Struthio camelus: one gene and its partners. The protein of the gene in region 1 interacts with the protein of each later gene in a biochemical or structural test. Links are inferred from orthologs where the notes say so. Each region holds a gene or a part of one and is shown on either strand. Other genes may lie near its edges. The genes, in order: HDAC3, GTF2I, NR0B2 and HIF1A.

What was found.
Region 2: the proteins of HDAC3 (region 1) and GTF2I form a complex in vitro, tested with the Homo sapiens proteins (2 studies listed by BioGRID). The link is inferred for Struthio camelus from reciprocal best matches to the Homo sapiens genes HDAC3 and GTF2I.
Region 3: the proteins of HDAC3 (region 1) and NR0B2 form a complex in vitro, tested with the Homo sapiens proteins (2 studies listed by BioGRID). The link is inferred for Struthio camelus from reciprocal best matches to the Homo sapiens genes HDAC3 and NR0B2.
Region 4: the proteins of HDAC3 (region 1) and HIF1A form a complex in vitro, tested with the Homo sapiens proteins (2 studies listed by BioGRID). The link is inferred for Struthio camelus from reciprocal best matches to the Homo sapiens genes HDAC3 and HIF1A.

Annotation. Positions count from the first base shown.
Region 1 is NC_090954.1:22,011,232-22,019,140, forward strand, and holds the start of HDAC3 (histone deacetylase 3), read left to right. Parts: upstream 1-4,907; 5' UTR 4,908-5,001; coding exon 5,002-5,056; intron 5,057-6,884; coding exon 6,885-6,967; intron 6,968-7,909. UniProt on the Homo sapiens protein: Histone deacetylase that catalyzes the deacetylation of lysine residues on the N-terminal part of the core histones (H2A, H2B, H3 and H4), and some other non-histone substrates.
Region 2 is NC_090957.1:12,519,359-12,527,180, forward strand, and holds the start of GTF2I (general transcription factor II-I), read right to left. Parts: upstream 3,006-7,822; 5' UTR 2,642-3,005; intron 1-2,641. UniProt on the Homo sapiens protein: Interacts with the basal transcription machinery by coordinating the formation of a multiprotein complex at the C-FOS promoter, and linking specific signal responsive activator complexes.
Region 3 is NC_090964.1:6,805,172-6,812,913, forward strand, and holds the start of NR0B2 (nuclear receptor subfamily 0 group B member 2), read left to right. Parts: upstream 1-4,727; 5' UTR 4,728-6,238; coding exon 6,239-6,782; intron 6,783-7,282; coding exon 7,283-7,563; 3' UTR 7,564-7,742. Other genes in the region: nuclear migration protein nudC, read right to left, coding at 2,774-2,851, 4,362-4,457. UniProt on the Homo sapiens protein: Transcriptional regulator that acts as a negative regulator of receptor-dependent signaling pathways. Specifically inhibits transactivation of the nuclear receptor with which it interacts.
Region 4 is NC_090946.1:76,628,084-76,635,850, forward strand, and holds the start of HIF1A (hypoxia-inducible factor 1-alpha), read right to left. Parts: upstream 3,001-7,767; 5' UTR 2,773-3,000; coding exon 2,738-2,772; intron 2,442-2,737; exon of another isoform or gene 2,142-2,441; intron 1,049-2,141; exon of another isoform or gene 699-1,048; intron 1-698.

The DNA of each region.
Region 1 (7,909 bases):
AAGCTATCAGGAACACAGTCAAAGTTAGGAGGGCAGAAATAACACAACTGCTGAACCTCTTACATCTCAAAGACCCTCAGAGCTGAACTGGCCCATGTGGATGGGGAAGAGAGGTGAGCAAAGGGAAGTGTTGGCATACATTTGTTCTTGCCCGCTGCTGAGGCAACCCACAACGCATTCAGACTAGATGCCCCTTGCAGCCATCTATGCGGTGGTGAGAGCCCTCGTTCCTATCCACAAGCGGTCAGGCGATTCATGGAAGTAACACTCAGGAGCCCAAGATTCTCTTTTATCCCCATGACTTCACCAGGTTACAGCACATCATACGTGCCATTCTTCTGTCTGTTATCCTGGCTGGAAGACAGGCCACGGCCATAATATAGTCCCAGTACGGAAAGAAAAGACCACGGGCAGTGGGAGACCTTTTGGGCCTGATCCTGCCACGCGTTGCTGGCGACACAGGATAGGAGAAGTCTCCTGACCACAGTCTAGCGAGCTGCCACAAACTACAACATCACATGAGTCTCCGCTGATCAAGATCTCAGAAGCAGTTCACGCCTTGCCTTCTTCTTCTCAGAAGAAGTTCACGCTTCTCTGAAGAGACACTGGGCCAAGGACCTTGCAGTTTGGACTTTCTCCTAAGCCCTAGGGTAATGTAGTCATGGTAAGCTTTTTTCCCATTTGTTCTCGTGCCCACGCTGTCCTTTAGAATAAATCATTCTTTCTCCTCTCTTGTGTTTCCGCCCACCCGATGTATTTCTGCATGGCAATCCTATCCCCTTTCAGCCTTCATTTTTGCCAGGCTAAACAAGCCCAGTTCACTTAACCTCCTCCTGCAAGACAAGATTTCCATTCTCCTGCTGCCTCAGCTGTCTAAGCATTTCCAAAACCAAGGAGGCACATGATGGGGAGAAGGAGGAAGGCACAGCAGCCTGTCCTGGGACATATCCTGGCTCTGCCTGGGGTGTAGGAGGTTGAACCAGGACAAGCAATGAGCTCCTTAGCTCCGTTATCTCAGTCGATTGCCTTCCTCCTCCTCCTGGGGGTCTTGAGCCGCACCGGCTGCAGCGCATTGTACTGGGCACTCGGGAATACAAATAACGAAGCAAAGACTCGGTGCCACCAGTCGCAGGATGCCCAGAGTCTGCTTTGCCTTGGATTTGTGTCCTTGCTCTCCCCTGTCCTTCCACCTACTCCTGCAACAGCCTCAGCTCCTTCCCCCCATCCTCTGTGACCCCAGTAGTTAAGACAGAGCACGAGATCAGACAGCGCTGGAGCCAACAGCAATTCAGCAACAGCTCCCGGGCAGGCAGCTGCCTGTTTGCTGCCTGCCTGCTGCACTCACCGCTGAGATCCCCCCTGCCTTTCCTCCCCAAGTCACTCACGTGGACTGTCCTGGCAGGTGCATATATAAATCCTGGAGGAACCTCAGGATCTTTGAGGCTTCTGTCCCTCTTGTGAAATTGCCCAGAAGCAATTTCAAATTTAAAATTTTAAGCCATCAGGTTTGAAAGTTACTGGGGGAGGGGGAGGGAGGGGGGGAGGGAGGGAGATGGAGAGCATGAGCCACATGCATCGTCCCCTCGGGTGACCAGCTCCCCAGAGAGACGCTGCTCCATCGCGCCATGCAACAAACCATCCCACAAGCTGCAGTCCCAATTTATCACCATATTGCTGCTTTTCTGCTCTTTTATCACGGCTTCTCTACAGTGATTATAATACACGTCATACCACAAACAATGCCAATGCACCCATTTTGTGGATCATCCGCTCTGGCCGTATTGATTGTCCACGTGGCAGTTAACAAAACAGGGCAGATTTCTAGGCTCTGAAACTCCTGTGGACAGGCTCCTTGTGGGGTCTCTACCATGATGCTCAGCATGGAAATTGCCACTATTTCTGTGCAAATTCTATGCCTAAATTGCATTTCCTAAAACATTACCCTGAATCTTAAAACCATTTAAGACTTTCTAATGTGCCCAGCAAGCTAATGGCCTTTAAAATGCAACGTATTTTTGCTATTTGCACACAAAGAGTATCTAAAAATATCCTTCTCCTATGACTTCTTTGCAGTGCTCCAATACCTGTCAAAATGCCCTGAACAGTTACTGATTTTCAGAAAGTGAATTCAGCTAGCAAAGTCTCCATGCAAGCAAAATATACTCAAGGAAGGAACGCATTTCTTACCTATTTGCTCCTTTCCCATAGCCAGGCGGGTCTGTGGCTCAGCCGAGCCGTTTACGTAGCTCTACAAACCCGTGGGGTTGTTATCTGGTCGCTGCACCTTTCTGATCTGCAAACAGCCCGTCATGCTGACTGATCAGCCATCGGTGAGACGTCAGCTGGAGTGGAAACCCAGCCGGGGAGCAGAGCGCCGCTGACTTGAATCATTTGTTGCTACATCCTTGCTGCTTAGATCTAGCCCACTAAAGTCCACATTTATTTGACTTGGGGCTACACTAGGCTCCTGGGCCCTGAAATGCACGCTGTGTCTGGTGCATGTCGGGTACCGTCTGCACGAGGCCTGCTGCCACATGCAGCCCCAAGTGGCATGGGGGAAAGAGCTACTACAAGCCAACCAATTTCCCTTCTGCATGTTTATTACCCAGGTAGAACATGCTTTTGCTGAGAAGCTGGGGAATCTCCCGGTACAAATCCGTAGTGCTCTCTATTCTGAATCTGCTCCTCTTACCATGCCCGCAGGGAGCCCCAATTTTGGGGCTGCCCATTTGCCCTGTTCCTCTCTGATACCCTACAGAAGCTGCCATGACCTATTATACTGCAGGTGTCCGTGACCATCATGTCTCAAACGCAGCATCCTTCATCTCCAACCTCTTGCCAGTGGGATCCACGAGGGCAGATTTTCCCAGCTGCACAGGAAACCTGCAGGACCGATTCCCTGCTGACCTCAACTCTTCTGCTCTCAGTGAGGTTGAACTTGACCTAGAAAAGTAGTTTCTGTTGTTGGGTTCGTGGGAGGATGTTTTGTTTGTCATGTCTGTGGTTTAGCTGCAAAAATAAAGCTGTTGCAAAATTCCTGGCTAGTCTTTCGTCTACTTTAGGTCTCCCAGGCTCTTCCTGCCCGTTGCGTTTCCCTGTGTCTTCCTTTCCAGTGGTGTTAGCCCTGGAAAAATGGGACTGCCTCATCAGAAATTTAAAATAGAGAAGCATCAGAAAGCTTTGAAGCAAAGCGAGGACTACATTGCAAGAGCCAGGCATCCCGTCTCCAGCGCAGGGCTATCGCCGCAGCGACAGCGACTGTCTGCAAACCATCAGCGCCATCTGAAGCTGCTTCTTGTGCTCCCCAGCGAGAGGCCACCCTTTTTCTTCTAATTTCTCTCTCGGGATGTTCCTCTCCGTCAGTCCTTTCCCACAGCAGCTGTGGAAAGTCGGTCCTTTCCCGCAGCCCCTGCTCCCTCTCCTCCTGCGGCCAGCTCTCTGCGGGCTCCGGGGACGTCCCCGCCACGGGAGCCGGAGGAAGGTCGCCCTTCGCCGGCCCCACAGAAGGCCAGTTTCACACTCTTGCTAATCCCTTTTCTGACCCGCTGGGAAACGCCGCACGTCGCTTTCCTCTTTTCTTCTTTCCAGTGATAACACGTTTTTTGCCACCTCCTTCACCCACCCAGGGTCTCCTGCTCCTGGGGCAGGTGTCCGTGTACCCTGCCTGTTCTCCAGGGGAGGTTTAGGGGTTTTTCCCCTTTCCTGGTCGCTGTTTTTTTTATACACTTCAATTTTCCCCGTAGCTTTTGTTCTCCGGCTGCCCTGCCTGCCTCGAGGTGCCTCCCTGTCCCCAGTCGCTGCCAACCCGGGCTGATTATTTCTGAACGCTGCCAGAGGTCAGGAGGACCCATTTCTTGCGGGCTTTTCCCGGCTGTGCCGCGCCGGGGTGGGACGTTTGAGGTTGGCTCGGCCACGTCCCCGCCACGCCGGCAGCCCCCGGCCCGCTAGCGCCCCCCGTTCGGCGCGGCGCGCGGCCCCTGGACCCCCCCAGCGAAGGGCTGAGCCCCGCCGCCGCCGGGCTGCCACCCCGAGCCCTCGCGCCCCGTCCATGGCAGGGGCGGGCGGGCAGCCCCGGCCCCCCGGGCTCCCGCTCGGGGAAAGCGCGGGCAGCCGCCGGCTGTCCTCGACGGCAGCAGGGCCGGCACCAGCGCCCCGGGCCTGCCTGCGGCCCGCCACGTCCCGCCGGCACCTCGGAGGCAGGGGGCCGAGCCCCGGGCAGCCAGGGAGCCCGGCGTGGGGTGACCGGGGGGGGTCGCTGGGGGCAGCTGGGGGGGACTGGGGAAGTTAGGGGACTGGGGGAAAGCTGGGGGGGACTGGGGGGCAGCTGAGGGGGGACTGGGGAACCTAGGGGACTGGGGGGCAGCTGAGGGGTGATTAGGGGCAGCTGGGGGGGACTGGGGAACCTAGGGGACTGGGGGGCAGCTGAGGGGTGATTAGGGGCAGCTGGGGGGGACTGGGGAACCTAGGGGACTGGGGGGCAGCTGAGGGGTGATTAGGGGCAGCTGGGGGGGACTGGGGAACCTAGGGGACTGGGGGGCAGCTGAGGGGTGATTAGGGGCAGCTGGGGGGGACTGGGGAACCTAGGGGACTGGGGGGCAGCTGGGGGGGACTGGGGAGGCCGGGGGGGCTGGGGAGCAGTTGGGGGGGACTGGCGGGCAGCTGAGGGGTGATTAGGGGCAGCTGGGGGGGACTAGGGAAGCTGGGGTAACTAGGGGGCAGCTGAGGGGGACTGGGGGCCGCCGGGGCGGGGGGGGAGCAGCGAGGGCCGCTCCCACGCAACGGGGCAGCCGGGGCTCAGGGGCACGACCGCGGCTGCGCACACCGGGCCCCGCCCCCAAGGCCCGGCAGGGCTCGGCGAGCCCCGCCCTCCCCTCAGGCCCCGCCCCGGCGCGGCGGCTCCCGCGCGCGGCGGCGGTGGGCGGGCTCGGGCCGCGACCGGTCGCGGCGCGATGACGTCGGCGCGCGCGTGCGCCCGCGCGCGGCGGTCCCGGCCTCTCCGCCATGGCGAAGACTGTGGCCTATTTCTACGACCCGGACGTGGGCAACTTCCACTACGGTGAGGGCAGGGCGGGGCGCGGGGCCGGGCCGGGGGCGGCGGTGGGCCCTGAGGAGCGGGCAGGGACCCGGCGGGAGGGGCCGGGGCTGCTCGGGGCCGGTGCCCCCCCCCCCCCGCCCCCGGTCCCGGTCCCGGCTCGGGGGCCAGCGCCCCCCCTTCCCGGTCAGCCGCCGGTACGGCGCTCCCGCCGGGCACAGCCTGGTCAGCGGGTCGGCACAACACCCCCACACCCCCCCGCACACGCACATTCTGGTCCAACGGCCGGTACAACGCCCCTGGTCAGGGGCCGGTGCGACACCCCCCCCATCCCACTCAGGGGACTGGTACAACCCCCCCCCCCCACACACACATCCCGGTCAGGGGACTGGTACAACCCCCCCCACACACACACACATCCCGGTCAGGGGACTGGTACAACCCCCCCCACACACACACACATCCCGGTCAGGGGACTGGTACAACCCCCCCCCCACACACACACATCCCGGTCAGGGGACTGGTACAACCCCCCCCACACACACACACTATCCCGGTCAGGGGACTGGTAAAACTCCCCCCCCCCCACACACACACATCCCGGTCAGGGGACTGGTAAAACTCCCCCCCCCCACACACACACACACACATCCCGGTCAGGGGACTGGTAAAACTCCCCCCCCCCACACACACACACACATCCCGGTCAGGGGACTGGTACAACCCCCCCCCCCCACACACACACACACATCCCGGTCAGGGGACTGGTACAACCCCCCCACACACACACATCCCGGTCAGGGGACTGGTACAACCCCCCCACACACACACATCCCACTCAGGGGACTGGTACAACCCCCCCACACACACACACATCCCAGTCAGGGGACTGGTACAACCCCCCCCCACACACACACATCCCAGTCAGGGGACTGGTACAACCCCCCCCCACACACACATCCCACTCAGGGGACTGGTACAACCCCTCCCCCACACACACACATCCTGGTCAGGGGACTGGTACAACCCCCCCACACACACACACATCCCACTCAGGGGACTGGTACAACCCCCCCCCCACACACACACATCCCACTCAGGGGACTGGTACAACCCCCCCCACACACACACACATCCCGGTCAGGGGACTGGTACAGCCCCCCCCCCCCACACACATCCCACTCAGGGGACTGGTACAACCCCCCCCCACACACACACATCCCACTCAGGGGACTGGTACAACCCCCCCCCACACACACACATCCCGGTCAGGGTACTGGTAAAACTACCCCCCCAACACACATCCCCGTCAGGGGACTGGTACAACCCCTCCCCCCACACACACACACACACATCCCAGTCAGGGGACTGGTACAGCTTCTCTGTCCCTTTAGATTCCCCCTTGGAGAGCCTTTATCCTCCTGCCACCCTGATCCTAGCTCGGGGGGCTGGTGCAACCCTCCTTCTCCCCATTCTGAGGGCTAGTACACTCCTCATCCCTGCTTGGGGGTCAGAACTACCCCTCTATCAGTCAGAGGGCCGGTGCATCTCTCCCTTCCCCATCCCTGGCTTAGAGGGTCTTAGGGTCCCCTCCCTCTCCTAAATCTTGTCTTGGAGGATCAGTTCTCCCCATGTTTCTCCCCATCCCAGCCTAGCATGCCAGTATACCCCCAGCCTGGGGGGCTGGTATACCCCCCACACTGATTCATGCTCAGGGAGCTGGTGCCCTTCCTTCTCCCCCACCAGGCCCAGCATAGAGGGATGGCTCACGGGCCTTAGTCCCTCCACCCCCTGGCAGAAAAGTGGCTCAAGGGGTGCAGGTCTGTGACTCCTCACGTTGTTTCCCTTCCAGGAGCAGGGCACCCCATGAAGCCGCATCGCCTGGCACTGACCCACAGCCTAGTCCTGCACTACGGGCTCTACAAGAAGATGATCGTAAGCATCGCTTCTCCGGGGGCAGCAAGGCTCTGGCAGGGCATGTGGGACCCTCATCCCTACCCCTGCAGAAACACGGCTGTGGGAGGCAGCTGTGGCCAAACAGCCGTTGGAGGGAGCTATTTACCCCTGGGCAGACAGGAAACGTGTTAGAGATCCATGCTCTATCCTAATTTTCAAGGCTCACTTTTGCCACTAACTCCAAATAGTAGCCTCTATTTTAAGGTTTGGGCTATGTTAGTAAGTTCTCCAGGGCTTTCTCATGTTGCTGCTTCTTGTTCAGCTCCCGTTTGTGGCACAGCAGGTAACAGAGTTGTTACAGGCAGGGCTCCAAGCGGTCTTGGCCATTTTCACTAACATGAGGTCATCATTAGCTGTTGGCACCTTGTTAAAGCTTGTGCTTACAGTACCATACCTGGAGCTAAAGCTGTGACGGTGAGAAACGAGTGAAACGTCAGTGTCCATAGCTGCTTCTAGGAAGGACCCAGAGACCATTGTGGGATTACATGTTATCATAGAGAAGTAAAGCTGAAAAGAAAACCCAAGGGGTTAGCTAGTTCATCTTGATGCTATAAGGCAGGATTCACTAATCCTATCTCATCCCTGCTAAATGTTTGTCCAGCCTGGTCTTCAAAGTCTTTATTGCCCAACCAGCTCACACAATCTAGTTCAGTGCTTTGCTCTCATTACGATTAGAAAGATTTTATTTTCCTGAAGTCTAACTTGTGTAAACCTGATAAAATGTGACTAGCAGGTAGTGATTACCAAAAAGCAAACTTAATTCTTCTTATCTTTCAAGAAAGGAACTAATTTGAGTATAGCAGAATATGGCTACAAATCTGTGGTACCCCTAATTTGAAATATGTTACTTCACTTGGGACAGGCGGAATTGAACCAGGCCCCTTTCGCTAGAATCTTTGTTCATTTTGTTGTCCATTCCCA
Region 2 (7,822 bases), on another chromosome or scaffold:
CCGTGTTACTTTCAATACCGCGTCCTGATGAAATTAATGAAACAATTCATAGAATCATGACGGTCACAGAAATATGATCTTCCTGTAAACCAATACACTGCCCTAAATCCCTGCTGTTGTGTTCAGAGATTGAAACTTTCATTTTTTTCTCCTAGGGCAGCCAAGCAGAAGGTTAGTAACCAAAGGCAACAGGGAAGGAACAAGGGCCCCTAACGTCCAAAGATCCTAAAGGAGACACCTGGTGCTCAGCACACCCAGTAACGCAAAAATTGCATAAAACTACACTAGAACAGCAGCATATTGCTTGGAGGAGGGGGGAAGGGGGAGTGATATGGTTCATGATATAGCTCCAAGACTCATTTAAAAAGAAAAAAAATAAGAATTAGTTCCCATTCTGCTAGGTATTCTTATGACACTTACTAACGTGCAATGACTTTCAGCCAGGTTAGATGATTCCTATCTTTGCTACCCTTAAGAAGCATTACAAAAGTAAAATGCAACTCAGACAACAGTTGCTTTAAAAGCACCTCTGATTTCTCTCATTCATAAGCCTGCATAATCATGTTTGCAAAGAGACACTTACACCTGATTTTCACTATTTCTAGATGTTCTGATATGTACAAACTTCAAAATTACAAAATTTTAGATACAATTAAAATTCAATATGTAAGTATATACCTCACTAGGCAATTATGTAAAAGTGGATGCATCACCTAATTTGGAGTAATTAAGAAGACATTAGCCATTAAGATAGAACTTCTTTCCTATATTAGAGCCAGACAGACTCAGAGAACAAATCCACTTATTTTTTAAGTATGCAGAGTGTCCTATGGCAGCTTCCACGTATTCATGAATTATAGTTAAACCATGTAAACAAAATGAAATATTAATCACAGTAGTCCCAACCACCTGGTAATTTCTGCCTTTACCACTGTAATTATATTTACTTAGTCAACATGATGATCGTGTTAATAATTATTAGTTTAGTTCTTTGTGTCCATCAACACTAACATATAATATTTGAGAAACAAATTAGTCTAAACTCTACCACTCTTTATCTCATCATAACAAAATGGTTTCTGGCACCTTTTGCAGCATGAGAAATTTTTGTCCTCACCAGCACAAGACAGTCCTTCAAACTTCTACGTCATATTGTAATGTTCACAGGGAAAAAAAGGCTCCAACAGTTCAAGGGAAAACTGAAAATACCTTTAATTCCTCCAGGGTTCTCACAAAGAGCAAATCAACACTAAGCAGCCAGATGTGTTTTAACACCATGCAAACAAAAAATTCAATCAGTTTTTAGCAAACATGTGAACCACACACCTTTGCACAAAAACTTTTAGTTCAGCTCAGACAGGTGTGACCTATATATTGATCCCCCTCAGACATCAGGTTGAGAGACTTCAGTACCAGTTCTTCACGGCCAGCTATGGAAATCCTTGCTGCGGGCTACTCTGCTGCACACAGAGAGACTTTGCCTCAAACACTTCAGCTGCCAGAAGTGAACTCTCAGGTCTCCTAGCAGAGCTCTCCTGTCCTAATATTTTTTCCCTGGGGAGCTGCTCCCCTTGACAATTTACTTGAATGTAGATTTGCCATCTGTAAGGTGAAACTTAAGCGCTAGACTGAATTCACAGTTAAGCTGCCTTGCATAGAGAAGGCAAAAAGCTAAACAGCTCAAGAGTTTAAGGGGGGTGGGGAGGAACCCTCTAGATACTATCTGCACTTCCTACCTTATATGATGGTACTACTTCTCTCCACATAGCCTAAATAGCGTGTGCTTTCCCAGGGGAGGGGGCTCAACTTTCATCCATGGACTCACATGCACAAATACACTTTTTTTCCTCCCCTAAGCAACGTCATTTGAAAGGCTACAGTCAGAAGCTAGAGGATAAAGAGCTATTACAACAAACAGGTCAGCACACTCCGCGCTTCCAATCCCAGCTGCGACTGGCATTAACAGTGAAAGCATCTGACCCTTCGATACTTTTCAGAGCTTGTCCAAAGGAACAACTCAGACCAGCCCAGCTCCAGGCAAGAGAGGAGAAGCCTGAGCCCCGCTCAGGGAGGCCGGGCTGCTCCCCAGCGAGGCCTGCTGCCCCAGCGACCCCCGCCCCCAGCGCTCCCGGGGGGGGGGGTCCTGCCCCCCCCGCCCCATTCGCATACTCCGCCCCGCCCCATCCCACCCGCACCCAATCGCCGCCGCCGCGCGCCAGGACACCGCACGTGCGCGCCCCCCCTCCAGCCAATGGGAGGCGGCAGCACCGTGGTAGCGCCCCGTCCTCCCAACGGCTGGGGGCGCGGGGGGGGGGTCGGGGCCCGCCGGGGGCGGGGCGAGGCGCGACCCGGGGGAGCCCGAGGGGCTCCGCCCCCGGCAGCAGGACTGAGGGAAGGGGGTGCTGCCACCGCCCCCCCCCCCCCCGCAGCACCTCACCCGAAGTGGCAGGGAAGGGCCGGAGAGACAGCAACACCCGCCCCGGACCGCGAGGGGCGGAGGAGGAGGAGGAGGGAGAGCCCGGGGCAGATGTATGCCCCCACCCCACCCCGCCCCGCCCGGGCCCCTCTCCGCGCTCCCGGGAGCCGCGCCTGGAGGGGACGCGGCACAACAGCCCCCCGCCCCGCCTGCTCTCCCACTCACCCGCTGCCGGGAGCGGACAGCCCGCGTCCTGCTGGCCCGAAGGCGCCGCCGCCGCCGGGCTGAGAGGGAGGCCGAGCGCGGCGGAGCCGCTCGCAGAAGCCGCTTTCCCCTCGCGCCCCGCGGCCTCTCAGCGGCTCATCGGGCGCCGGGCGAGGCGAGGCGCTGGGATGGGCCCGGCCGACGCACGGCGGCCCCCTTTTCCCCCTCGCAGTCTCTCAACCTGAACCCAGCACCGCTCACGGGGGAGGGAAGCGGGGGGGAGGTTTTTTTGTTCGAGGAGCCCCAACTGCGCACGCGCCCTCCCCTCCTCGCGGTGCCTGCCGGGAGCCGTAGTCCGGCAGCGGCGGCCGCGCCGCGCTGCGGCGGGGCGGCGGGGAGGGCGGCGGACTACAGCTCCCGTCGTGCCCTGCGCGGGAAGGGGAGGCGGAGGCGGCCCGAGCCGTGCGCCAGGCAGGGGAGCGCGGCGAGAGCGGCGCAGGTCTCTCGGGCGGGCGCGGGCGAAGGGGGCCTGGGCGGAAGATGGCCGTGCGCGGGGAAGCGGGGAGCCGCCGCCGCCGCCGCCGCCCTCGGCCACGCAGCGGGGCCGCCCGCCGCCTCCCCCGACCCCCCGCCTCTCCGGCGGAGGGGCCCGGCCGCTGCCTCCCCCGCGGAGGGAGGAAGGGGCCTGGCGCCGCTGGGCCTCGGCGGAGGCCATTTCCCTGCCTCGTTGCCTCGGGCCCGGCCCCAGGCGGCGGCGGGTTTGTGCCACTGACGGCGGCGCTGCTCGGCCAGCTGAGGCGCAGCCGTGCCCGGCGGGGGAGCGGGTTCAGCCCCCGGGGGTTCAGCCCTGCGACGTAGCAGCGACCGCCTCCCGGAGGGCAGCTCGGCCGGGCGGCCCCCTCCGTCTCCCAAAATGTCTCCAGCTTTATGGATAAACAGCTGCTTGCCAGCCTGCGCTGCTGTATCTTACTGCTCGAGTCTGAGCCCAAGCTGCTCCGTGTAGCAGGAGCCTTGAGTAGCCCAAGTGCTGTTGCCCCATAACGTTCATTCCCTCTATTGACTACTGCAAAAATCAGCCAAGTGTAATATAAAAAAAATCGCTCCCAAACACAGTTCTCTCGAGAACCAACACTGGCAACAACAATTTCCCTTCAAGTGTGAAGCCTGGCTTTGGTTAGAATAAACTCTAAACACAAAAATAATTTTTCCATTGCTGCAAGTTATGCTAGCACTTTTCCCCAAAGGTGCGAAGCATGACTGATAGCATCTATTTTTATAGGTCATTCATAACCAGGCAAATGTTTTAGCTGACATCACTTTTATTTGCCTGGGAATTTAGGTTTGATGGGGTAACTTTGGATGGAAAATCAAGTTTCCTTTCAAAGGGAAATGCTGTATTTGAAATTTTGTTCTGAATCAGAAAGCTGTATGCTATTAAAAATAGCAAAAAACCCACCCAATATTAAACTATTGTTTTGATAAATGTCAAAATTTTGTTTAGATTCCTGTTTTAGCTTTGATTGTGTTTATTCATTTTATTTGCACTGTTACAACGTATATAAAACCATTAACTCTATTTTGGGAACGTTAACGATTTGTTTACAGTTGGTCAAGAGGAACCACAAAACATTACGATTTCAAGTAAACTTCATTTTTAAAAGGAATTGAAAAAGGCTCAACTGAAAGCATTTAGCATCCTCCTACTTACAATAAAGAGGGACAAATAAAAATGGGGAATAAAACTCAGAATCTAACCTAACCCTCAGAAACTATCTGCTGCAAAAGTATCTCTGCAGGAAAAGTTACAAGTGTCCGCTGTTTATGGTAATGTTGAATGTCAGTTTCCATACCATCACCGTTAAGGCAATAGACTTTGTGCAAAACAAATGCCTACCCACAAACCCGGCATAGCTGGGGCAGTTTAAGACATTGTGGCACTATCAGTGGTTCCTTACCAGTTTTCTGCTGGACATCCTAACTGCTCGATTTAAATAGCGGGAAAGAAAATACAAGCATTCAGCAGTGCCTAGCATGAAACTCACTTTCATCACCACCTTAAATTAACCCGGAAGATTTTGCCCTGCAGCGTGTGTGTGATTCCTTTCTCCTGATCATCTGCAGAGAAAGGCATAACCTCTGATGCAGGACTATCATAAGTGGGGACCACAACTTCCTAAACTGCCACAACTATTTTCTAAGTAAATATGCCGGTTCTCAAAATCCCAAAATCGTTGCCAGGACTTTGTTCAGGGGCTGTGCCTCGACCCTTAACCCACAGGTATTGGCTGCTCCTGGTTGCGGGGCTGATATGTTTTTGATGCGCAGCATCGTGTCATGAGTTATAATGAGAGTCATATGCTGCATCTGATTCCTGCTGGCAAGTCCATAGTTGCCATGGCTCATTTGCTCCCATGTGGGTCCTCTGAGGAGTAGAAATTTGCTGTTTGTTTGGGAGAGGATTCTTCCCACTTCTCCATATCCTTCTCCACCACCTGACCCAGCCACATGAGCTATGGAACTGGTTACTGTTTAGGAAAAAAAAAGATACATAATGAGAGTTAACTTAAGTCATGCTTTATTCAGAATAATGTTTACCCATTGTGGTTACAAGATGACTAACTGAAAAATTAGTTCCTTAAGGCTTCTAACTCCAACAGAGACATCCACTTCCAGCCACTGGCTGTTGTAAATCAACGCTCAGACTAGAAGTAGCTTGTATGTTTTTAGTAGCTAGAGTAATTAACAACTGCAACATGCACATTACCATTTTCTCCATCACTTAAAAGCTTGGAAATCTAAGCAGCTTCTTTCTGAAAAAGACACTCGACTTTCTGCATAGCCTCCATGGAATTTTAGCAGCAGATTCCTGAATAGATTGTTACATTTAACATCAGACTAGCTAATCCAGATGTTCTTTCTAGGTTTAAAAGTCAAGGAGCAATTTCTGGAGGAAAATACTTTCACCTAAGTTCCTTGCGTTAAAGTATTTTGTATCGTTTCACTTTTCCCTCTACTACTTAACCAGCTGGGCTTCAACTACAGATTGGACAAGATTTTCACACAGCTACAAGGCAAGCAAAACACTTCTCTTAAACAAGGAAGCTGGACTGTAAAACTACAAACATTGAAAAAGAGGAGTAGACTTCAGAGTTATTTTTATCATCATTAAAAAAGACAAATTACATTTCAAGTTCATACTCTCCTTCTGAAAACAAATTGAAACAAATGCATACAATTTTTTCACTTACTCATTAGTTTTGGAAAATATTCTCTTTCATCCCCAGAAACATGTATTATTCTCTTTAGAACTAAGAAGTTTTAGGCTGTCTTTATCAGAAGGTTTTGCTGCAATACATGCAATGAGTTATAAATTTAACCTCCAGCTAAACATAGCGTACGGGATTTCAAACAACTCATATTTGAAGTTTCTGTGGGTAAATCTAAAGATTCATGACAGCTTACATCTAAACATCTAACATCTAAGAGTCCTAAAACCCTAGCAAATGCCAACTGAAACTATTGGAGTCCTTAAAAATTTGTGAAGGGGATTTATGCCTGAAGGCAATGATAGCAAGTAGAAAGCAGCCAATCTTTCACTGATCATCATGGACCTGCTTTTCCAAGCAGTCACCTCTTCTCCTGAAAAACTTCCTGCGTGTGTGGGGCAGGGCGGTTGGATCAGAGCCTAACTCTTTTCTCCTTGTATTACCTTATCTTTGTGCAGCCCAGGATACTTGCCTCAGTTTGCCGGCCTTTACTTGGTGTTTTGCCATCTCTTTCTCTAAGTGGTTTAGTTTCAGGAATCACTGCACAACCTTTGAATAGAGAGGAAGTGGGGGAGGAAGCCCCAACCTCTTAGGAAAAAAAACAACACTGCAGAACTATATTGTGTTTTACATTTTGTGCAGAAATTAAACTTCAATGTCTGGAAGCCATGTCCAAATCTAGTAGAGCCTCAGAGCATGGGAGTTCACAGTTCCCTGACGTACACTGATTCTTTTATATGTAGATATAAACTCTTCCCTTCCCCAAACTTATGTTTAAATTTCAGCTCTGCAAACAGTGTACCTCTGCTATACCCCAGGAGCAAAGTACTCTTTGTATCAGAGAACGTTAGCGATGATGGACTAAATAAGTCTGTGCATTGATGGACTATGCAACCCACGTCTTTCCAGAGCAGACCTCCAAATAAGCCTATTTCACGCTCCTTTATCAATTTTTCCTTTGTTCCAGTTGTCTAGATTCCTCTGCAGTTTTCTTTCACTAGGCTTTTCCTCTGTTAAAAAGTAAATAAAGACATCCTTTATTTTTACTTTGAACGTGGTACTCGTAATAAGGCTGGCAAACGCCTGTACAGGACAAGAATTTGGATAGTAAAAGCACTAGAGAACAAAGAAGCATTTAAAAATAATTCACCTCACGTGATACAGGATTACAGCGTTAGTAAATATGCATTGTTCCAAATATCAGGATTAAAAAAAAAAACAAACTCAAAACTTCACACTATCCAAAATGATAGGCGTCAGTGATAGGTCATGGCTACTCTCCTCAATGCATTTATTTATAGCACAAAAGAAGTTGCCTCTTTGAAAACACTTGGCAAATCTGCAATAAGATGCTTTGATGAGCACAGCAGCTAATACGGGCACTGAAAGTATCGGTGGCTGCTGAGCAATTATTCGTATCTCAAAATGAATGCTGCACTTACAGGCTCTCACGGACATTGCTGCATCACCTTGTGTTTCCCAAATCTTCCTCCAGCCGTGACAGCCAGGCAGTGAGCGTTTCTAAAATGAAAGCCGAGACTGTTGTGCACAAGATGGCAGAGCAGGAGAAGTGCCAGCATCCCGCCACCCGCTCCTGGTACCCCTCCAGCCAAGCCCGGCGCCGAGGATGCGGTCCGGCGTTGCAACAGAGGCCGAGACAGCAAAAAGTACAAAGAGATCAAACACGAAACCTGATACTTCAGGTCTAGCACGGGCACACGCCAAATTAATTCCGCTAGAGAACAAATATCGCCAGGTAACGCAGAAGCCAGCAGTGCTTCTGCCTCATGGGTTCAGCCAGTTCCTCAAACTAACTTAGGTAGGTAAAATCTTTTTTTTGCTATTAGGAGGAAATTAGATTGGGATGTTGCCAGTGAAGCTTTGTCATCCCAGCGAGGGATTTTATTTCCCCCTCCTTCCTCCCCGCCGTGCTCCG
Region 3 (7,742 bases), on another chromosome or scaffold:
TAAACCCCAACTCACTTTCTACTGAGAAATATGAGCACATTTGTTAGTGATACTGTGTCGGGACTTTTCCCTTCATTTTCACCCTAGTCTTTTGATTGAAAAGCTAGACGGGGGAAAAATCAAAATATTTCAGTGTAACCCTGCCTAGTTCTTCCTCATAGAGGGAGCATATTTCCATTAAGACAACAGAAATATAAAGATTTTCCATTTGTTCTGTACTTTGTGCAATCTCAGCAGGTGCCTAATCCAGCCATTTGACAGCCACTCAGTATGTCTAGGAAAGCTGGTGGCAAGGAGACACGGGACCCCAGTTTCTGTACCCGCTTCTGGTTTAAGGTGATGCATGTCTTAATCTCTGAGAGTTGCAAGGCTTCAAAAACTGGTTTCAAAGCACTCCGAGTTCTCCAGAGGGAGGGCATCCAAGTTTGGCACGCTACTGCAATAGCACGCTCTCCAGATGAAGTACAACAGACCATTCCCACATCTGGGCTTTTCCCAGGCATGAGATGGAGATTCCTCTCAAATTAAGATTTAGATTACGAATTAACACAAGGACGAGACCTTTCCCCTAAAGAGATTATAAAGGTCCTTGAAACGTTGCTACTACTGCAACAACAAATGGCAGGGAGCAGAAATAGCTAGGCATTAGTTTAACACCACTGTCACGACTTACAGGAGAAATATTTGAAAAGCAAGGTATTATTTGGGAGCCAGTTCCTACATAAATCTTGACCCCAAAGATATCTCCAACTTCTCATCTTGTTGTGACTATGAAAACCAAAGTCTCAAGGTCTTTGATGCAAACGGCTGTACTGCTCAGAGGGAAAGCTGCGTACTCGGGCACGAAGCCAGAGCAATTACCCCGTGGTCAATAATGCCACCAGAACTGTGCAAAGCCGCACGTATGAGATCTAAGTTCTGCTCCACGAGACAATATAGATAAAATCTGAGAACAGAAATTAAAGCGGAGCAAACTTTCAGATAGAGGTTTCAGGCACTGGCTTACGTATATCCCAGGAACTTCAGTGAGGAATTAGCACTTCTCCAAAGTAGCTCAGAACAGCCAGGCCTCATGTAGTTTTGGAACCAACCACCAATCATTTACGGCTTTGCTTTTAAAAAGGAAAGCAGGATTTATTTACACAACTTGAGTCCAGCGTCTCCTAGGATACAGAAATCAAGACATGCATCTCCCAGCCTCTGTTCCCAACTGCAGGACAATCCACAGTGAGCAAAGCTATTCAAATCGCCCAAGTGTAACAGTGTGCGCGCACTGCATTTCCCTCAACATGTTACATCACTCCCTCATTCTACACCAGGAAGGCTTCTGAAATGGCACCACATAAAACATACTGCCTTTCCCACCACCCTCTCCTCTTTTCACATCTTTGATATCAAAGGATGAGCAGGATGGGGGAGAATAAATTCTTCAATTTTTGTTGCGGTTATTACGGTGTCAGAGGCAAGTTAAGAGACTCTTTTGTATTCATCACCTTTTCAGAGGACCACAGAGCATTTTAACAGACACCAGCCAAGGACGCTAACACTTTTCTTCTACAGATAGCACAATAAGACACGGATTTGCAAGAACAGTAGCCTGGACCTCCAACAGCATCTGTCAGTGCTAATCTCCGAAATTCTACTAAAACATAATGCTGCTTAGGTTTTCATTCCCTAGGAGTACAGAGTCCCCAGGAAATCTGGAAGATTTGCTCACTAGTCCAAGGAAAACAGCAGTAGGCGTCATCCTATTCTTACTTTGAAACCATCCACCTTCCCATCCCTTCGCTGCTTTAGTTCTTCCATTTTACAGACTAGACAGAGTATCTTATACGCAGCACTGGCAATCATCTTTGCTAACATTCAACATGGCAGCAGTTCCTGCTTTGCTGTCTGGAGAGTTCCAGTAATCCAGAAAGTTCTTTCAGAAGGCATGTATTCCAGCATTTTTCCTCAATCCTACACCACGATCCAAACTGACTATATGAGCTACAAGTATCTGACCCCCCAGTTAATATCAGCTTCCTTGTAAGACCTGATGTTATCACCTACAGTTTTAAAGCCAGGAGGGCAGGTGAGGGGCATATAGTAAACACACAGCCTCTAGACAACAGAGTCACAAAGTAGTCAGCATTCTGAAAGAAAAGGTAACTGTTGATATACTGGTAAGCACAAGCAAGAAACCTTCAGAAAGTCTCGCTAACTGATGTTTCAATGCTCTGGTCCTTATTTCACTACAAAGAAACTAGTTAGTTTTACAATTCTTGTGCTGGGTCAGGAATACCTGCTGGATATCAAAGACATTCAGTTCTCTCAGGCCAACAAGGTAGCCTCGATCCTCGGGCTTGCTCTCTGGCGTGTTCAGTCCGTACAAATACTGCAGCACAGAGACAAAGGGGCAGCAGCATGTGCAGGGATGTGGACTTTGTAATTTTTCTGAGATGAACAAACAAGGTAACCTGGGGTTATCAACACTGCAGTGTCTGTCACCGTTAAGTCAGAGCGTCTGGCAGATTTGCTTTTCAAACAGGCCTTTGGCCAGAGCGTGGCAAAAACTTGCACCATTGGTATCATTTGAACAAGCCATCATGCCTCACCTCAGATAGGGGTAGCTTATTATTACCTTGTTTCAGAGGTGTATTTCACCAACATCACAGACTGCTGGTTCCCAGGTGTATTGGGAGGAATGCTTTGAGTTATTCAGGAAGGGAAGTCTTAGCATGGCACAGAGAGTATGTAAGTTAGAATGACTTTTTTTTTTTTTTTTAAATACCTTTTCTGCTACTCCATCTTCGCCACCAGTGAAGAAATCAGTTTTCCGCCTCAGGAAACTAAAGAATGTGTTCACAAGCTGTTTGAGGAAACAGAGGGTAGGGGTTGGGGTAAAGAGGAAAAAAAAAAGAGCAATGAGACCAGATCACTCCCAGTCATCCCCTGTCTCCTCAGTAGTCTTTGTTCTTCTTTTTACTTCCTGCCTATGTCTGTGTTAGGATCATATTAGAGTCAAACCCATTACCGTTTCCCAGCAAAAAAACTGAGGACTTTTGTGGAGATCCAGCTTACGGATTCCCAATTTTCAGAAGATGCATTTTTGTGTTTTACATGAAGAAAGGGGAAGCAGTTCATTCTCAGGCCATCTTCCCTTGGAGATGCATCAACTTTGAAATCCCAAGCTGTTACTTAGACCCATCTGACGCTGGAACTTCTTTTTTAATTAAATATACACATACATGTATATAGATACACGTGTATACTATAAATTCACTTCTTTGGTTGTCTAAGCCCTCAGAGCTTGCAAACCCACCTTCCCCAGCTCTGTGACTTGTTTACTTTTACAAAAGACTAACACGTTTGCTACCCACTAACAGCCTAGAAGCAACGGATGGTGGTCTGCGCCCTGCAAGACATGCGACAAGACAGAACTGCCTGTCAGGTGTCCCTGATGAAGTAGAAGTTGTGAACTGACATACTAGAATACACCTGCAAGAAATAATCTCAATGAGTATGGTTTCTCTTTCTTCTTTTCCAGGAATAATGTCTTTGTCAGTATTTCAATCAGAAGCTTCAGTCCAGTAGGAAGAGCTGTTATTAACATCATTTCCCCAGACCACCTGTGGGTGGGGGATGTTCCCCAGAACTGTAGTAATCTAGCTGCATGTCATCACCTAGACCCTCTGAGCAGCCTCCAGCAAGAGTCACATCAGAAAATGTGAGTGCAAAGAGTATCAGTAATGCAGCTACAGTGAGGGAAGGGAAACTGTATTCATGCTTAGGCATACTTCTGCCTATTTTATGACTGCAGCCAACACATCAGGTCTCACAAGGCAGCTCTCAGACGGTCATGCTGAGAGTGTGACAGCTCGACTTGATCCTCCCCATGCAGTGTCTAGTTTCGCTGCAATACGGAGAGGGATCTGCCTTTCCACACGCCTCTAACGCCTCTAGCAAGCCAACGGTGTTAACTTGAACGAGTGCGAACGACCCACCCATAAAACGCCCCAGCTGCTCAGGGGCGACGAGACGGCCGCGGGAGGCGGCAGGAAGCCGAGGGGCATGGCCGGGGCCCCCCAGGCCCTCATCAGCACGGCGCTAATTAGCCCTTCCTCCGCGCCTCCTGGGCTCCAGGTCCCCCCGGGGGCGCCGAGAGCAGGAACCCCCAACGACGGGGCGCTGGGACACACGTGCCCACCGGGGAGGGCCCGGGGCTCCCGGAGACCCTCGTCCCAGGGAGGCCGGGCCGCGGCTGCCTCCGCCCCCTGCCTCGGGGCCCGCCCCTCCCCCACTCACTCCGCCCCCCGCCCCGGGAACACGTAAAAGCTCCCGCCACGGCCCGGGCTCGGGTCCAGGCCCGGCGGTGCTACCTCGCGCACGCCGCCCTGGTGCTGCTGGGCCATGGCCAGGAGCATGCCGTCGAAGCGGTCCTCCTGCTCCGCCGCCTCCTCCGCGCTCAGCCCCATGGTGATGGTGGTGGTAGGGCCCGCCGCCGCCAACGGCCCCCTCAGCCCCTCACGCCGGCGACCGGAAGCGGAAGCGACGCGAGCGGAAGGCGGTGCGCGAGGGCCCGCGCCGCCCGCCAATCCTGAGCGCCCGGCCGCCCCGCTCTCTTCGCGGATTGGCCTTTGCGGCGTCCAATGTGCCGCGGGGAGGCGGGACCGGCGGGGCGCGGGGTTTGGTTGCTATAGCGACGGCCGGTCTGGGCCTTTCCAGAAAGCTCGGCGAGGCCGCGTGTCCCCGGGGGGGGGGTAGGGGTCAAAGGGCAGAGGGCACGTCACGGGAGGGGGGGCTACCTCCCCGAGGTCAAAGGGCAGAGGTCACGGCCGGGGGGGGGGCCAGCTGCTGGGATCCACCCCCCCCCCCGCGGCCTCGCCCTGAGGGGGCTCCAGCCTTGGGTCTGAACCCGCCTGGTTTTGGCGTGACTGCTGCGGGCAGGCAGCCGCGCTGCCGCTCGGCTCTGTCCCGGCGCTGGTTCCGCCAGGGCTGCGAGGAAACGTCCCAGCGCTTTCTTGACCGGGGCGCGGAGGCTTAAAATTCAGCCGGTGTGAAGGGAGGTGACGGAAAGCAGCCTTGTGGAGCGCTGCCGTTGAGCTGCAAAGAAGCCGGCCCGGTCGCCCTCGGGGATCTGCTTATCTGCAGGGACCGAAGGATCCACCTTCTCTTGTGTTCGCTGCTCTCTTCCGTGCACGGCCCCTGCCTGCCTCTTGGCTCTTTTAGGTCTTCCTGCAACTCTTCCCACGCCCCCCTACGTAGGATTTCCCTTCCATTTACAGCACCGGTCTTGTAGCCAGCCTTTCTTCGGGATGAGGTGCCTTAACCCTAAGGAGGGTGAGGTCTTCTGACTCACTGGCTCCTTCCTGCTATAGAAATTCCTCACTTTGTTGCTGGACCCCTTGAAATAAGTAACCAGGTGCGGCCAGACTTTTCTAGACCAACTTCTGTTCATCAAGTGATAAAACCATCTGGCAATTCAAGGCAAAAATGTAAGAACCTGACCCTGCCCTGCCTCGTATTTCCTTTGTGACACAAGATCCTTTGGGCCCTGCCTCAGATTGAATACTATAATCTTTTTAGTTCACTGGGTTTCTCGTCCTTAACTGTGACAACATGAGTCCCTTGTCAACAAGGTTGGGCAAACATCTGCTGATAAAACGACTTCCAGGTTGCTCTTCCCAAGGCCGGAGCATGCAGGCCGTTTGCACCAGGGTCCTCGCTCCAGACGAGTGCCGTGTGTGTGTGTGTGTGTGTGAACTTCTTGGCAGTGACACCTGCCGTATAGTGCTGCCTGATTACACGGCGGGGCCTTGGTGCCATGGTACAGGCTGGGTTAATGACTTTGTTTAAACTGTTTGGGTAATCGTGATAAGGCCGCCCAACCTGCTGTCCTGTCCCCGCGCTGCTGGCCCCGCTGGCACTTCATTGAGAAAACGGCCATTGACGCCATGTGGAGAACTCGTTTGTTCCAGCCAATCAGTCCAGGGATGGCTGTTTTTTTTTTTTTTAATGAGGACCGCTTAATCACAGAGCGGTCAAGGCTATGAAGGGGTGTTTCACTTGTGACTGAGCCTTATAAGAAGAGCTGGTTAAAACAGCTATGGGCTGGCAGAGCTGGGAGGAGAGACTGTGCCCGGGGAGCTTTGATTGCCGCAGGGGGTTGTGACAGTGCCCTTCTGCTTTACGGATCTCCCTCCTCTGCTGCAGCAGGAGCTGAATTTTGCTGAGGATCCAGGCACCCAGCTCGGCTATGACAACCAGCAGCATGGACGTGGACTGCAAGAGGTGCCAGTGCCACAGCGAGGACAACCGCACCGCCATCCTCTACACCCTCCTCAGCCAGAACTTGAACCACAGCCGGGTCAGCTGCAGTCCAGCCCACCAGCGCTGCCTGTGCCACCAGCGCCGGACCGTCTGCCTCCGCACGCCCCACGTCACCTGCCAGGCGGCCTCCAATGTGCTGGTGAAAACCGTCAGCTTCATGAAAAACCTGCCTTCCTTCCAACTGCTGCCCCGAGAGGACCAGCTCTTGCTGCTGGACAGCTGCTGGGTCCCCCTCTTCCTCCTGGGGCTGGTCCAGGAGATGGTGACATTTGAGGTGATGGAGACCCCAGCCCCCAGCATGCTCAAGAAGATCCTTCTCGATGGCCAAAGCAAACAGCAGGAGCCCGAGCGGATGCAACCCACGCTGGCCGCGGTGCAGCGGCTGCAGTGCTGCCTGAACACCTTTTGGAGACTGGATCTGAGCCCAAAGGAGTATGCCTACCTGAAGGGCGCCATTCTCTTTAATCCTGGTGAGTGTCGAAGCCTCACAGCCCTATCTGCTGGTGGGGAGAGAAGGCCCCGCAAGCATGAGCATCTAGAAACACATTTCGTGGCTTGGACTGATTCAGAGCACGGGCAGGAGGAGCTGTGCACGGGAGAGGAGAAGAGGGCTGGTTATCTTATCATGGATACCTAGTATTACATAATGCCGTTTACTGTTGGGAAGTGGGGAGGACAGATGTTGAATGTAGTGCTAAAATCCAGGGACCTTGCCTAGCCTGCAGACAGTAAGGACCCCAGGACTTATTTTGCCAAGCATGGGTTTACCCTGTTAACTATTTTTGCTCCCTCAAAGCAAAGCTGCTACTCAGCAGCCCCAAAGTGGCTACGTCTTAGTAGTGCTGCGTCCATTTAATTAATGTGGCACTCGGAGTCCCTTCAGAGGTAGTTGAAGGGATGGGAATAGTAGAAACTGGAGCTGCTGTGCAGCCTCCTTCTTCACTGGCTTTTTCCTCCTTTCTCTCCATAGATGTCCCGGGGCTGAGGGCCTCCCTGTACATTGAGAGCCTCCAGCGGGAAGCCCAGAGAGCGCTGCAAGAAGTCCTGCGGCCCCTGCACCCCGAGGACCAGGGTCGCTTTGCCCGCATCTTGCTGATTGCCTCCACCTTGAAATCTATCCCTCCTGCACTCATCACAGACCTCTTCTTCAGGCCAGTCATCGGCAATGCAGATATTGTCGAGCTCATCACAGAAATGCTGTATGAAATAACCAGCAGGCAGCTGGCTCCTTCGTCGCGCATGGCGCTCTGAGGGACTGCGCTCGGCTGTCAACCCCACAGACGTCGCCTGCTCCCCGAGTCAAGTGTCAGAGGGCGGCAAAGTGAATCTGGGAGCAAGGTTTAGTGAGGCAGGTGCTCTGTACTTTGCAGGGAACTGGCTTTGTGTGTGTTTCGTTAAGCCTGGGGAACAGCTCCAGAGGCTGTAATTTT
Region 4 (7,767 bases), on another chromosome or scaffold:
CCCAAAACGCCAATACCTAATCAGATTGCAAAAAATACAGAGTGCTTAAGATTCCATAAGAAATCAAGTTAGATCTACGTAACTTGGGACTACATAAAAGAATGGTTTCAACAAAGCAGTACACCAGTCCACACTTTCAGTTGCTGTTATATAATTAATAAGTGAAATTAAGTCATAAGAGACAGATTTGGTCAAATTTCCATAGTTTCTGGATCCCACAGCACATAATTAGCAAGCAAAAAAACTTCACTTTACCTCTCTAACTATCAATAGCTGAATATTACCCAAATATACACGCAGATAGGGGAAAAGGAATTAAATGATCTTAACACATGCTGAAAGTTAAGGTGCGCCACATCTACAGTCAGCCAAAATTTTATCATCAAAAAACAGGACTGGAACTTTCTAAAGGTACTTTCTCTAAAAATATTCTTAACATGGACACAGTCAAACCTAAACCCTTCTAAACCAAGTCAGGCTCTTGAGCAATGCTTGAGATTTGCAGTAAGTTCTCTGATGAGCTCTTTCTTATTCTTCCTTTTTTGCTTAGCCATCTTTGCTCTACTGCACATTCACAGCCTCAGGATGAGTGTACCACAGATACAATATGGTATTTTCAATTAAAATACACTCTACAACAGAAGTAGTCAGAATATTCCTTACTACTTTATAAGAAACATTCCCAACCTTTAACTCACCCTTCAGGATGCAGAAAACACCAAATTCTCTTTCTTGAGCTCTGCCTTTAGGAAGGAAGGGATAAGCTATGCATACTGATTCTTACGTTCTAAAGAAAGCAGATTACATCCAGGATAAGGAAATTGCAAAAAAGTACCCAAGTGGGACAGAACGGTAAGTAAAAAAAAAAAAAATGCTCAAGGACAAAAAAAAAAAAACAGGAACAGAGAAAAAGCTAAGTCTCAAAACCCCTTTCTAGACCTGCCACTAAAATAGGCCAGCAGAGAAAAGGATAGAACATTCATTTCTGTTGCAACATTTTCTCCAAGGCTTCTCAGAAGTTATTACCTTTCAGTTGAAAAAACAAAGGCTACTGAATTGGTACCACCCCAGGTGCCCCACAGTATATATTTCATTAGACTAAAAGCTGCTTCTTCTCCACCCTCTACCCCACTGTAATAACTTGAAATAATCATTACAACGATACAGTCCTAGAGGTAAAGCACTCTGTATTCACAAGCCCAACACTCTGAATTCACAGTTCTAGCTCGGCACAAAGCTAAACATCCATTTTAGAAGTCAGTTACTCAGTCTCACATCCAACACAATTTATATACTTTACTAATTTAACCTACTCAGATGACCCTTTGATACAAGAGCAGAGATAACCAATCTCAAAAAATGGTATCAATATCAACATAAACAAACACTGTCTGCTGCAGATGGCGATTACACCAATTAATCCCTCCACAAAGCACATTGGTGGAACATCCAGTCTAAAAATCTGATCACCTAAATACTCCAACTCTGTAACTTTGCAATGCAACAAAAGCTTTTAAGGCTTTTATTTCCCCCTCTTTCTAATTTGAGCTAACAATCCTTGGTGAATTATTCATACTTCTCAACTTACATTGTTCAGCAGCCCTCTTTCTGCCCCCCCACTCCCTTTTTTTTTTAAAGCTTAAGCTTCCAAGGCTCTAAAAAAACCTTCCCTTTCTGAACAAAACCAGAACATAAAATAAAAATCAAAGTTTCAGTGGCCATCTTAAAAAATAAAAATAAAAAATGCCTAACAACTTATTTTTAGGAACAAGTACAGAAACCCATAGTCGTTGTCAGCAAATGACCATTAAAACACGTTCAGACTTTCCACAGCATTTGAACCAAATTGATAAATCTTCCTTTTGCCACTCTGGCCTTAACCAACACCCCCCCCCCCTTTTTTTTTTTTAAGGCCCTCTTATAATTACTTATGCAAGCACATTTAATTCACCATCCTACAGAAAACAAGACAAACCAGAACACCGAAGAACTAATCGGGATGCGTTTATTGCGGGGGCCACCGAGGGTCCTTAGCACATCCAAGGACTCGGGCGTGCCCCCTTCACCTCCAGGCCGGCCCGAAGGCCCGGACCCGCAGCAGAGCCGCCGGCCGGACCGCGCCGGGCCGGGCCGGGCCGGGATTTCGTTGCAGTCGGTGAGAGCCGCCAGCCCGCCCGCCCGCTTCGGCCCGGCAGCGGAACGAGGAGCCGCACACAATGCGCCGAGCGTAACTGCCGCCGGGTTCGGCGCAGCGGCCGAACAACGAGCAGCCGGAGGCACAAAGCCGCGCGCCTCGCCGGGGCCCAGCAGGCGCCCCCAGGGCGAACCTCGGGCGGCCAGACCCCCCCCCCCCGTCCCCGGGGCCGGCGCCCGCCGCCCGCGCCGCTCCCCCCGCCGACAAAATGGCGACGTGGACAGCGAGGAGAAGGAGGAATGAAAGAGTGAGGCGCTCTCCGCGGAGACGGGCTGAAGAACGGGGAGAGGGGGAACGCGGGGCGGCCGGGGGAGGGGGGAGAGAGAGAAAAGGGGGAAGAAGAGGGGAAACGGGGGACGGCGGGAGCGATAACAGCGCGGGGAGGAGGGGGGGTGCCCGGGGGGCAGAAGAAAGGGGAGGATGGAGAGCGGCGAGGGGAGGCGGCTCCGCGCGAAGGATGGCGAGAGGGGGACGGGCAGAGCCGGGCCGCGGGGCCGCGGGCCGGGCTGGCCGCCGGGCGGGCAGGCGGCGGCGGCCGGTTACCTTTTCTTGTCGCTGACGCCGCCGGGGCTCTCCATGGCGGCCGCCTTGGCTTCTCCTCCCGCTCGCTCGCTCGCTCGCTCGCTCTCACAACGCGAGGCGGGCGGCTCCAATGGCCGCCGAGGGGCGCGGAGATGGCGGCGCGGCCGGGAAGGGGCCGGGTCTGGGGCGGCGCGGGCTCAAAGCATCGGGGCAGGCTCCGGGGCCTGCGGCGAGGTGCGGCCGGCGCGGGGCGCAGCGGCGGCGGCTGTGGGAGGCGGGCGGCGCGGGGCTCGCCGAAACGGAGACGGCGGCGGCGGGGGCTGGGGGCGGGCTCGGCCGGCCCGGACCCAGCGCTGCGCCAGTGAGGAGCCGCGGCGGAGCCCGGCCCCCCTGGGCCGGCGGGGTCAGCTGAGCAAACAGCTGGGCGGGGGCCGGCGCTTCACGTGGAGGGCTGTGTGCGGGGCGGGGCGGGCCGCGCCGGCCTCCATCATGTCGCCCCGGCCTCCCCTCCGAGCTCCCCGCCTCGCCGCGGCCCCGGGCGCAGGCGGGCTCTTCCCCGCGCCGCCCTCGCCGGCTGCCGCTGGCCCCGCTCGTTTTAACCTCACGAGGGAAGTCTGCCTGTTGTGTCGTATCCTTCCCCCTCCTCCCCCCCGCTCCCACCCCGGCGCCGTCGCCGCGGGGGTGTGTTTTGGCGTTTCCAACGCGGTTCTGGCCGTGCCCTACCTACCGACCTTCCCCCCCGCCCAGGGAGCCCCCAAACCGGGGCTGCCCCCGCTGTGCCCCGCACCGGCCCGCTCGGGCCAGCCGCCAGCTCCCCGCGCGGCGTGCACGGCGGGCCTGCGTCTCCTCCGCCGCGTTTCCTACGCGCCGCGACCAGCAGTCACTGGTGGGACTCGCTAATCCGCCCTATAGCGCACGCACGCACAAAACCGCCCCAAATCACGCTGCGGTCCCTGCCGTTGTACTGGCACGGTCGCACGTTTATTGCCCTATCCACCTCTTTGTAGCGAGAAACCTGTCCAGTTCCTAACTCCTTCCCGTTTCCCGAAGGTTTGCTAGCAACGCGACCAGGCCGTATCAAGCGAATGCGTTGAAAGACGCAGATCAATTAAAGAGAATAAGCACATCGTGGGGTGGGCCAGAGGGACAGATACAACTTAAAAAAAAAAAAAGAGAAGAAGAAGAAAAAAGCCAAGCGGCCTTCCCGGCTGGGAGGCTGAACAGGCCGTGCGGAGCACCTATATGCCTCTATCCGAAGCTGAGAAAGCGCACGCTACTTCAACAGGCACCAAAAAGGATGCAGGGTTTAGGGGGGTTTTTTGTTTTTTTTTTGTTTTGTTTTTTTTACAAGGCACTTACTTACAATCAAAGTGAGACAAACACAGAAGCCCCGGCCGGAATACAATGCCACAGCTTTGCTGTCAGAGAGATTAACGTAGGAAAAGCTTCATGGAGGAGCCTTACATAAACACGGCGATAGAGACACTCGCAAGTAACCTCCAGGACAGACCGAGGCAGCGCACCGGCGAGCCGCAGCTGGGCCGGCGCGGAGGGAGGAAAGTCACGGCCAGAGTCCACGCATTTAAAATTAGAGGCTCCCCAGCAACATTAGCTATGGTGCCTTAGTCATCTACTTTTCCGGTTCTGTGGAGTAGGTGAAGGTGCAGTTCAAAGTGAAGGGACTCTAGAGCTTGGAGATTACTTCATGTCTGGTAGGCTTCCTCCAACAAGAAGTTAAGTGATCCTAAAGAGGTGAACCATACGACGCTGTTCAGTTCATAGCGCAAAGGTAATGATACCCTTTAAAAATAAGCTTTGACAGGCACAGGTAACAACCCTGCACTGCTGTATGCATTTATAATGTTGTAAGAAACACCTGCAGGGCAAAACGATGTCGTTTCAGGACTGTATCTCGCTAACATTTCTGCAGTGGGGTCTGAACTTTCACATAACAAACAGTCATTTTTGCATACAACCGTGGGGGTTTTTTGTAATTTCTTTTGAAGAAAAGGCAATGACCGTGACATTTAATAGAAATCACAGAGAGTTTCTATGTGAAATGAATTGCTCCTGCCTGCCGCAATCTGATACACAGAAGAGACACATGTGCTACAGACTCCCTTTATCCCTTTAAGGTTTCGCATGCAAATACAGACAAAGGCCAGCTTTGCTTAGCTTATGAGAAGTGACAACACGATAGCCCGTGGCAGTGTGGCTGTAGACTGCTGATATTTTTGTTGTTCTGCTCAGTGGAGCCTCAAGAAGAGAAATAATCAGAGCAAGACTCAAACTCAGGTCTCCTGCATAAACACCAAGAAGCCCCGCACAAGCGCTCGTGGACACATCGTATTTGAAAATGAGGTACAGCCGGTTCAAGCGCAGGGACGCAGTCGCTCGCGCGCAGCAACCTCGCGCTGTTTTAGCACGGTCGCAAAGCCACCGTGACGGCCCCTAAGGAATTCTCCTGGTGAAACGGCGGATCTCCTGGCAGGTGCCGAAATCTCACTCCCAGCTCGGTGCCTCCCCCGACCCCCCTGCAGAGCCCCTGCCCCAGGGACGCAGCGGGGGAGTTTCGGCAGCGAAGTGCTGCTAATAGAGGTGCTTGCTGCACCGCAGAGGGGGCCGGCAGGTCATGCTGAGCAGCCTTTGCAGCGTCTCTAACCCGCGCATGAGGAGGAAGGGGTCCGCACACAGGAGCGAAAGCCTCCGTTGCACTTCCACTGCAGTCCTTCCACTAACCTCTTATCCCTTCATCTTCTAAAGGGAGCTAAGTGCGAGCACCGATGTGATCCCAGGCCAGGACAGCCTAGCGGTAAAGCTACAGACCTCAGCTCGTCCTACCCAATGGGCTCTTATTTTCAATCCTCCAACCACTCATTTTATTAACAATTAATTTTGGTGCCCATAAATAGTGACATCTTAGGATTCACTTGTACACCTTTATTGCCATTATCTAAATTTACATACTGCGCAATACACTGAAACAGTTCCTCATTGAATAGTCTCATGCTAGGTTGTGATCATTTTAATTAATACAGGCACGAAGGCTCTGGAAGTGTTAGCAATCCCAGAGTAAAAGACGCTACAGAAAAATCTCAGTATACAAATTACTAACACTGCTCAAGTTAATTGTTCAAGGCTTTCGAGCTTCCCAGCATGAACTGGCTGAGGAGCTGTGAGTAAGCATTGTGGTCTCCTTACTAGGCACATTTCTCTCATACCGAACATGGTTACTCCAACCCGTAATAAAGAATTCTGCATCAAAAACCAGTAGTGTTTCAGGATGATGTTACTGGAAATTCATTCCACGATTAAACATTTTGTACTGTAGCAGCTCTGGAGAGATATTAAGCAAAAGTTCCCTTCCCTTCACCCTCCCCTTACTGAACTTTTGAGTCACTCCTCTAATATTCTGCATATATTTTCTTTCCCGTCTTGCCAGTGCCTGACAAGAGAAACTTATTACAGTAGGTAATGCCTTAGTCACTTTGTTTGACCTTTATTGGTGTACTAAGTTCATACTCTAACTTACGTTAAGACAACTTCCTGTATTAAATAGTGTTTGCATATGACTAATTGGGACAAATTCACAGCCAGCAAGACGATGAGTCAGCAAAAGGCTCAGCGAAGACAGCAGAAGGAATCCAGCAGCAGCACAGATCCACATGAAGATGCGAGATACGCTACTGCCCATGGCTTCAGATCTGTCTGCTGATAGGTGAAACACTGCCAGGACGGGCACGGTACACATTAGCTGTCTCAGGACCCAATCCCATCCCCATCAAAATTCAGTGGCAAAACTTCTGCTAACTTCAGTGGGAATAAGACCAGGGCCTGCATTTTTCTCAAGCATCTTCTCTGCTAAGAGCACTTCAAGTTTCTGAGCTTGGACTTACCAGGTGGAGGATTTTAGCAAGAAGTAAGGACTCCTTCCATTTAAGTCACTTGGTTTGGTGACTCCTGGGACGCCTCTGCAACAACCCCCTGCAGCACTGGCTTCCCTGGGCTTTTACTTGGCAGTACAACCCATTAAGATTAGGAAATTAATATTTATTGATTCAGTAAATAAGCACAGTTCTAAAGGGGAAGGGAAGCGCACAAACCAATCTAATGATATTTGACCACAAAACATGCCATACGTACAGCACCCCTGTAGAATCATTTACTTGAAAAAAAAAGTGCCCTCAAGTCTCTATGGCTGTGCAGACCCTTGGCTCCTTTACGGACTGCCAATAATCTAATGTGGCTTCTTATTTGTAACAATGCAAGAACCTGAGATCTCTGATCATCAACTCATTTCACAATAGAAAGGTGGTTTATTGTTGTATCCATCATTATTGATTGAATTCCAACTAAAATGCTTGGTTTGAACCAAACCAGTGGTCACCAAAACAGTGAAAAGTGAATGCCGCTGTTTCTCAAATGTGAAATTTTGTCTGAAACAAGAGTATGTGATGAGAGACAATATCTCTCTTTGGCAACTGTGATTTCCACTGGTCTCTTCTGATTTGTAGAGCTTCTCCTCTGCTTCTTAGGCCAGGATCTTGTTTCTTCTTCTTCTCCCCTTTGCAAAATCAAAATAATGTTTTTAAACGATGAGCACCTTTTAAAGCTTGCTTGTCAGAGTGCATTTAGGCATTTGGAAAGACTCTAGTCACCTTGATTTCTGCACAGAAAAGTGCCCCAGTGGAGGTAACACATTCTGCAGTATAGTAAAAGCACTAAGTCCAATTCAGCATAATTAGATTTGAGGGAAGGATTTCCTACCCAGGAAGGACTTCACCAGCTGAAAGCATGAGGCGTGCAGGCACTCGGTGGGCTACGTCATGCAGGTTCGCCAGTCAGCTACATCCTGCCAACCCTGGCCGCTCCTCAACAGAGATTGCCAATGGTATGGTGGTTTTCCTGATGTGGACCGAAAGGAGGATGAAGTTTTTAAATTATCCTCAGAGAAGTAGATGAGTTTGTGGTCAAAGACCTGAATGAAGCCTTGGGGATCCACAGTTGTTAATGCTAGCCTGCAACTAGGCACAATCTTCTCTCCCCTTGGA